Linked DNA regions of Tribolium castaneum. The protein of the gene in region 2 purifies or fractionates together with the protein of the main gene of each other region. This does not show direct contact. Links are inferred from orthologs where the notes say so. Each region holds a gene or a part of one and is shown on either strand. Other genes may lie near its edges.

Region 1 (4,452 bases), on a different chromosome or scaffold from region 2:
TTTAACCCTCAAAGGCAAGCCGTAGAAAGGCCCAACTTCGGTAAACGTACCATTTTCTTCCCCAATCGTCTCACTTTTGGCTTTTTTCACCGGTATTACGTCTTTAGTAATGTTTGATAAAAGCACTTGCTTTAAGGCCGTAGCAAAACTCGCATTAATTCCAGACATTGTAATATCATTCTCATTCTCATTATTTTTATCCGATTCTTGTTCCACTTTTTGCGTCCCGAAAAGTCCTTCCAAAATTTTCGAAATGTCTTTATCGACAGACTCAACATCTGAGCCCATTACGCTGACCGAATGTTCGATTTGGTCGAAAAATGACTCCAATTCGTCGCGATTATTTTCATTTAAAACGTCTCCCAAATTCTCGCTTATTTTTGCACCCCAATTTTTCTCGCGCAAAATTGTGCTGTTCGTGTTACTCTCACTTATTATGGTCTCAATCTGGTTCAAGGCTTGACTGTTCTCAAACAGTTGAGTTAATTGAGTCAGTAATGGTTTTTTTGGTGATTCGTTTGGGTCATTTTTTGATCTGAGAGACAGTGGTGTTTTTTGTGAAGCATCAACAACTTTATGTAAGGAATTGTCGCTGGCTGAGCGCGTTGAAAGTGCCGTACTTTTATTAGTTTTATCATTTAGTAGCTGAGTTAGATCAATATTATCAAATAAATCGTCATCAAGTGAACATTCCTCCAGTTTGCATTTCTTATCAGCGGCTATTTTTGCCTCGTTAGACAACCTTTTTTTAGTCCCGGTTTTGCAACCACTATGATTTTCCGGAGGTTTCTCACTTTGTACTGTAAAAAAATTATTCATGATGTATAATTGGTTGCACAATCGGTAGAAAAAATTATTGAAATTATTTTATCAATTAGAGGCGCTAATTCCATAATATAGACAAACGTAGAAACGCGTTGGGATATTAGTTATTACCTTTTTTATTTTTTGAAAGCGAGAGCACAGAGAACTTTTGACTTTTGTTTTGGGATAATTGTCCTCGGGGTGCTTGAGGAACTAGGAACTCTTCATTGTTGGGCTCTGTAGAAACTAAAATGACTATTATGGTAATCTGAATACAAATACAAAACCTGGAGGTATTCTTTTGTGGGGTTGCTTCAAGCTGTTCATTTTATCACCCTGAATATTAACCAATAACACTTTCACAAAATTAGTAATTTATCAAATTGCACCTCTATTGCTACATTTATCTATTTTATTTAAACCATTTAAATATAAAATATTAAACACAAAACTGCAAATAAAACAAATTTTCGAAATATAACTTTTGACAGACAAATCTTGAACTTGACAATTGTTTCTTTTGCGCCGAGACGAACACGAGCCAATCACTGTAATTAATGCTACATGCTACAATGCTACTTTTGTAGTAGCATTGGGTTAGTAGATATTGTATCGTCTTTAAATTTTATTTATTTCAATAAATATTAATCATTAATTATTTAATCAGACTTTGGCGCTTGCTCGAATTCGCGCAATGTCAAACTGTAAATGTCAAAGAAATTTTAAAAGTCGTTCACAAAAATTCAACCTTGCTAAATATCCAAAAACGGGAAGATTATAAACACTCAACACATCCGTGCATTACATTAGGTATGTGTGGTTACAATTAACACGAATTCGTTGTAAATTACATATTTGAGCCAAGAGGTGGAATGTTCTAGAACTGATCATCGGTGGTGTTCTAGCACTTCAGAGTGGTTCAAGTGGTTGTGTATTTCCCTTGTGATCCTTATGGTCAACCAGTTGCATTTTAATTACAGTAACCCGCCCATTATGGAAAATGAAGATAGTGAAACGGCCGACAGTGAGGAGGTCAAGTCACGGGCCGTTGTGAAGTATTCCGTTCCAAAACCGGCCCAATTCATTCGATTAAAATGTAACACCGACTTAAACCTACCCCCTTCAAATTGGTTGAGTAGTTCGGCCGATTCTTACGGCTTACAGCACGTTCTCTACCACCAGAAGGGATTTTCAAGGTTAGCTCTTGTCTTAAATTGTTCACTTGAGAAGTTTTCTATAGTTTCAGAATGGCCCACATGTTCCCTGACTGTGTGGGAGAAGTAGATGTGGTTTCGGATGCGGAAAACATAAAAAACCTGCTTAAAATACCCTACTGCAAAAACCACATCAGTATGATGGTTCACAGAGTTGAAAACACTCTCCTACTTGATGATTTTGATATTTACAAACATTTATTGAGAACCTCCGAAACTGAATGGAAGTGGCTCAAAGAGTTCTTTTTCGAAAATGTCAACCATGAGACTTACGAAGAGGACAAGAATATGTACATTAAAAATCGAAGACGGGAAACCTTACAACAGAAAAGTCTAGTTTCGAAATTTCTGTATCATAGTTTGGCCGAAGGTGATACTAATGAAAATACGTGTTATGAGGACCCGAAAACCCTTCCTGTACCTTTACACGGACCCCAATTGCCTGAACCTGTCTCCGCAACACCCGATCCCAAGCCCTTTGATCACAATTACAACAGAAATGTTGTTTGGACTTTTGAGGACATTGAAATGTTAATAGGTACGGTATTTTTGTAATTTTGCATTTTCCTTGAATCAAATTTTTTTATATTTTTCCAGGTACGGATTTACCGATATTCGGTGGTGGCACCCACCCTTGCATCTCACTCCGTCTTCGAGACGTCAGTAAACCAATCAACGTGCTAACAGGCATCGATTATTGGCTAGACAATTTAATGTCAAACGTTCCCGAAGTCGTAATGTGTTACCACTTGAACGGCATCGTCCAAAAATACGAACTTATCAAAACCGAAGACTTACCCCGCTTAGATAATTCAAAATTTTCCCCTAAATTAATTCGAGACGTTGCTCAAAGCATTTTATCGTTTCTTAAGTCAAACGCGACCAAAGCCGGCCACACTTATTGGCTATTCAAGGGAAAAGACGAAGAGGTTGTGAAATTATACGACTTGACCTCACTTTGCTCAGAGAAAGATGTGGAAAATGGTCAAAATCCCTTCACTATACCTGTGGGTATGTTATTATACCGAGTAGCGCGTAATATGAAACATACATCGGATCGGCAACCCGGAACAATCCGGATGTTGCTTAAAAACTGTGTTAAGTTGCTACCGGAGGAAAAATACCCAGAAGTGGTCACGTCCTCGCACTATATGTTGGCCGATTTGTACGTCCCGGCAGGGACCAATCCCGAAGCGCCTGGTTTAGAGCAGGAAGTGGACGAAAATGATGAGTTTGACGATGACGATTTGATCGACGATAAAGACGATAAAGCTACGAAAATTCTCGTCTTGGATCAGAGTGATTCTAGGGAGAAATTTGTTAATTATTACAAGTCGCCACCGCCGATTACGGGAACTGTGGAAGAGCGGTGTCTACAAGCTGTACAGCATGTGGCAACCGGGCTTAATTGCTTGCAATACTTCCAACAACACCAAACTAGTGCTAGTGGTAAAAAAACAGCCGAAGAGGAGGAAGTTCCTGTTGCCAAGCCTTTTGAACCGATTCCAATGCCGTACGGGAAGCTTGATTCAAATGATGGTCAAAAGAAACAAAAAAAGAAAGACAAAAAAAAGAAGAACGAGAAAAAGAGTGAAAATGCCCTACTTTTGAAAAACAACACTCAGCCTTTGCCGACTTGGCAAAACGGGACGGGAAATATCTCATGGAAGGACCATCTCAAGACTTTACTTTATGAAAAAGCGGTCTTGGTTTATGCAATTTTGTCGGAACAACATTTCGGTGGCCGAAATTACGGTAACAGTTTGAGGACGATTGGTTTGTTGGCTAGATGTCAGTTGGTGATGAACCGCCTCCTTTACAATTCCAACGCCTTGAAGGAGAATTGTTTGCTGGGCAGAGCCGGCGATTGTTGCATTATGATGATCCAAAACTGGGATAAAGTCGATAGTTACCGCCAGCAATTCCAAAACAATTCCGAGGAAGATTTAAAATTGATGGAACAGCTCGAAAAAGACGAGCAATTGTACAACATCCACATCGGCGAGTCGAACATGAAGTGCGTTTTCATTTACGATATTCGCACAATCGAGCAAATTCTTCTCAAAGGTGTGGAGTGTTACGAAGTGGCGTTAAAATCAAGCGAAAATGATAGTATTTTACGGCGGTTGGGTAACGGTTTAAATGAAGTCGCCTCGTTTTATTTGAATAAAGCCAAGTCGGCTAAAACGAGCGATCTTACTGTGGAAATGTGCAAAAAAGCTGAACCGTACTTAACGAGAGGTTTGATTGTTTTCGAAAAGGTTAAAGATGAGGCGAATGTTGCACTTTTGTACACAAATATGGGTCACATGCATCGACTTTTAGCACATGCTAATACGCCGGAAAACCGGGGCGAGTTGAGTCAAAAAGAAAAGTTGCACTATAATAAGGCATTTATTAATTATAAGAAGGCGTTGCAAGTTTTGGGGGATCG
Region 2 (3,902 bases):
AGGTTCGCTGAATTAACGTAATTTTGGAAAGAAATTACAAGTGGGCTCAAGGTGCAACTATCACTAAATCTATTTAAGCTTAAAAATATGATAGGAAAGTTTTGTAACATGAAACATTGTGACAAAATCTGGAAGTTTTTTATTAAACAAATGAATAAAATAAATATACAATGTGTTTTTAAATGATTCTCATCTAGTTAACTTTGAAATTGGTTTACATGTCAAAAAATTTATGTCGTTCTGCTCAATTGATTTGTCAATAAATGTCAAAACTGTCACTTGTGAAATCATAAATTGTCAATTAATTAATTTTAAAAAAATGGTAAAATGCAACTAAATTGTTACACTGTGTAAGAAAACACTTTTATTATCGAAGTTTATTTCCGACTTGTAGGCTTAGTAAATATTCCATGTCTAAATTAATACTATAAAGCGGCATTTCTGATTTTTCATCACACAGACTACTAGATGAGAATCATTCTAACACACATTGTACAATTGTTTAATTATATTTAAAAAAAATAAGAACAAATGTATCAACAGATATGTCTGTGCGCAAACTTATTCTAAATAGTTTTGGAAGATATACCCTCAGATATACCTAAATAACTTTCAAGTTTTAATTTTTTTGTTATACTTAATATTTTTTAGCAAACATCAAATTCACCTCTACGTTATTAAAAATAACTGTTAGAAAACTTAATTTGAATGAAAAAAACTTAAGTTTTGAATGAAAATAGTGTGTTAATAAAGACTACAGTATTCAAAAATACATACCTACCTATTTTAATACGTAAAAAAATGTGACAATACTCAAATTGTGATCGGTGGGGTAAAAAGTCCAACTTGGAAAGGCAATTTCGGCCTAGGTTTCGTCAAAAGGATTCGGGATATCGAGAAATTCATTCAATACCTTTTTTTTTGTTTTTTATTAAAATTTTTGCTATTATGTACAGGTCAAAAGATTTATGATTCTCTCATATTATTGCAAACAGAATGGTTGACTTATATTCCACGTTATTTAATAACAGACATCAAGCTGAAACTCTAGCTTTAAAAGTCATGGTAAAAGGTAATCCCTTGTATCGTCTCTATTTTCGTGTAAACACGGTTATTCAATTACTTTTCTTGGTTTAAAATTAAATGGCAAGGCCAGACAGCTTATTTTACGGTTTAAGGTAAACGACACAGACCTCATCTCCAAATTCCTTCTCTAAAATATTTCAGTCAACATCAGAAATAGAAATATTTAACAAAATTATTTGAAGGTCGCCGCCAACAAAGAATTCACCAATTTAAGCCCAGACAGTAATAAAATCGTAGTTATTTTCCTCAAAATCGCTTCCTTAAGCATCAAATCTCTTATTTGCATGTTTTTAATTCAAAATTTTTACAGTTTTGGTCCCAAAAGTGTAGCTTATATTGACGATATAGCAGTGATTCTGTCGACTGGGAGCGTGGCGCACTCCTGTAATCCAGCTTCTTGGAGGTCGGGTTCAGTGGATGGTTTGAGGTTGGGAGTCCTGTTGCAAAGCGATTCACGTTGACTGGATGTCCGCACTAAGATCGGCATCGATATGGACATCCCGGAGGAGTCCGGGATGTCCAGGTCAGCTAAGGAGGGGCGAACCGGGCCAGGGGGGAAACCCAGCAGCCAAAAGTCCCCGTGTCGTTCAGTAGTGGGATCGCGTCTAGGAGTGGAAGCTTTGTGACAGCCCAATCAATACAGCTAGACCTGGGCCTTTTTGCCCTTTTTTTCCATCTTTGCTAATTATTAAACAATTTAGAAACCGTTATTGTTACCAATTGTGGGTTTATTCCACCATAGAAAATTATTAACTGGGGGCCCCTCATTGTTGCAAAGTCAATGGGTATGTATGCAACCAACATTGCAATTTTGACATTGACAAGCGATCATAACCTCAAACTCCAGAACGTTCGAGACATTTTCGCGATTCTTCACTCAAATATAAATCCCAGCATTGTGCTCACGCACTGACAGTGGTTGTAGTGCTGAAAGTGAGTCAAAATGACCAGTAACCAGGAAAATCAGCCCCAGATTGCGGGCGCAATTTGCGCGCCGCCCCCTCAGCCTCCAACGGGCGACGTGCCCCAGCCGCGTCAGCCCACGAACCTCCAGGGGCTCCTTAAATTCGCCATGGAGGCCACCAAGCTGGAGGACGCCCCCCGCGAGTCCACCTTCCAGCCCATGGAAGAAGCTCGCCGGAAATTCCTCGAGGAAGCCCTCAACTCGCTCACAGTCGACGTGATCGAAGTGTTACTCAAACAAATCAAAATTCTCGAAAAAGTGGACACGCTCAACGCCGGCGATGACGACAGCGAATACACAACAGCCCTTGACACGATCTCCGACTTTGTCTGTGACATCGACACTGCGAACGATTTTCACAAAATTGGGGGCTTCGTGATCGTGTCGCCGTGCCTCAAGTGCAAAAGCCCCAAAGTGAGGGCACAAGTGTGCAATTTGTTGGCGGAGTTGTGCCAGAATAACGCCTACTGCCAACGAGTGGTGCTCGAAAGTGGGATTATGCCGATACTTGTGGAGATTGTGGAGCAGGATCCGGAGGTGTCAGTGGTGGTGAAGGCATTGTATGCCATTAGTTGCATAGTGAGGCAAAATACGGGGGCTTGCGCCCAGTTTATACAATATAAGGGGGTCCAGGTGTTCCTGGAAGCCCTCAAACGAAATGAGGAGAAAATCAACACAAAAATTTGTTTCCTCTTGAGGGCGTTGTGCAGCTCACAGGCTGATTTTAAAAGCCGCCTTGTTTTTGTGGGTTACATTCCAGTTCTATTTTCCTTACTCTCAACACCTAAGACAAGTGACGAACACGTCCTAGGCCTCCTCCAGAAGTTGATTGAAGACAACTCAGCCGCCATTAACGAAAGCAGACAAAATAAAGTGAATGCTAAGGAAACCCTCGAAAATTATTTATCACAAATCAAGGGAAAGGAGGAATATTCCAATGAAGAAGAGTTGTGTGATACCATCTACAATACTTTATTTGCACAGAAATAAAACGTGTCATTGTATTTATTTCACATAATTAAGTTGTACTTTTGCAAAAATATACGCTTTTATATAATATTATAAAAAGTTGTTCCAACTCACGACACCTAACACTAATATCATAACATGCTTAAAATTTTACATAAACTTAATTGTTTGCAACAATTTCTCTCAAAAACCGGAACAAGACGTGATGTAAAATATCAGATAATATCAACTACAAGCACCTAAACATAAACACAATTATTGCTTCGAAAAATATCCGTTATTGCAAGTCGGCGAGACGATTCAGGAGCGTTTCAAACGATTCGTTACCAAATCGCGAATGCCACATTTGGCTGATGAAAAAATTCGGCACTTGTTCATAATTAAAAAACTGGGCTTCCTCGCACACATTCAACGCCAACTTCCAGATAATTTCCAAGTTGGCTAGGATTTCCTGATTGGCTGAATTGTGACGTGCGAGGCCTTCAACGCTCACTATGGTGGGGTAAATGTGGGACAATTTTTGCAAATCAAAAAACGAACACAGAGTGGAGTCTTGTCGCGAGACCAGAATGGAACCAGGGACGACGACGTCTTGAATCACCGTCAAAATGTGCTCTTTCACGTCCATTATTTGCTGCACGTTGTTGCGATGGTACCGGTTTAAGGCCTCGAACCAATAATTGGGGGGAATGTCCTAAAAATATCAATTGGAAACTGGACTATTAATTTCAGTTGGTAGCACTACCTTTATTTCAGCAATGCACAGTATGGGTCTATTGGCTTGGTTTGGCCTTGAGCTGTTTGTGCAACCTTCGGGATACGTATCAACTAAAACAATGATTCCAGGGCCCCCAACCTTTTTATTTTGTTGCGACTTTAGGTG

What was found.
Region 1: the proteins of hsp70-binding protein 1 (region 2) and erythroid differentiation-related factor 1 purify together in Homo sapiens (affinity purification with mass spectrometry; 3 studies listed by BioGRID and IntAct, counting the BioPlex papers as one, with this or other methods). This does not show direct contact. The link is inferred for Tribolium castaneum from reciprocal best matches to the Homo sapiens genes HSPBP1 and EDRF1.

The regions. Positions count from the first base shown.
Region 1 is NC_087397.1:550,079-554,530, forward strand, and holds the start of erythroid differentiation-related factor 1, read left to right. Parts: upstream 1-1,458; 5' UTR 1,459-1,614; intron 1,615-1,784; 5' UTR 1,785-1,797; coding exon 1,798-2,000; intron 2,001-2,044; coding exon 2,045-2,556; intron 2,557-2,615; coding exon 2,616-4,452. Other genes in the region: mus301 (helicase POLQ-like), read right to left, coding at 1-800, 937-1,050, 1,092-1,131. UniProt on the Homo sapiens protein: Transcription factor involved in erythroid differentiation. Involved in transcriptional activation of the globin gene.
Region 2 is NC_087395.1:16,048,398-16,052,299, reverse strand, and holds hsp70-binding protein 1, read left to right. Parts: upstream 1-1,423; 5' UTR 1,424-1,871; intron 1,872-1,933; 5' UTR 1,934-2,029; coding exon 2,030-3,040; 3' UTR 3,041-3,118; downstream 3,119-3,902. Other genes in the region: uncharacterized protein LOC100142079, read right to left, coding at 3,297-3,713, 3,765-3,902. UniProt on the Homo sapiens protein: Inhibits HSPA1A chaperone activity by changing the conformation of the ATP-binding domain of HSPA1A and interfering with ATP binding. Interferes with ubiquitination mediated by STUB1 and inhibits chaperone-assisted degradation of immature CFTR.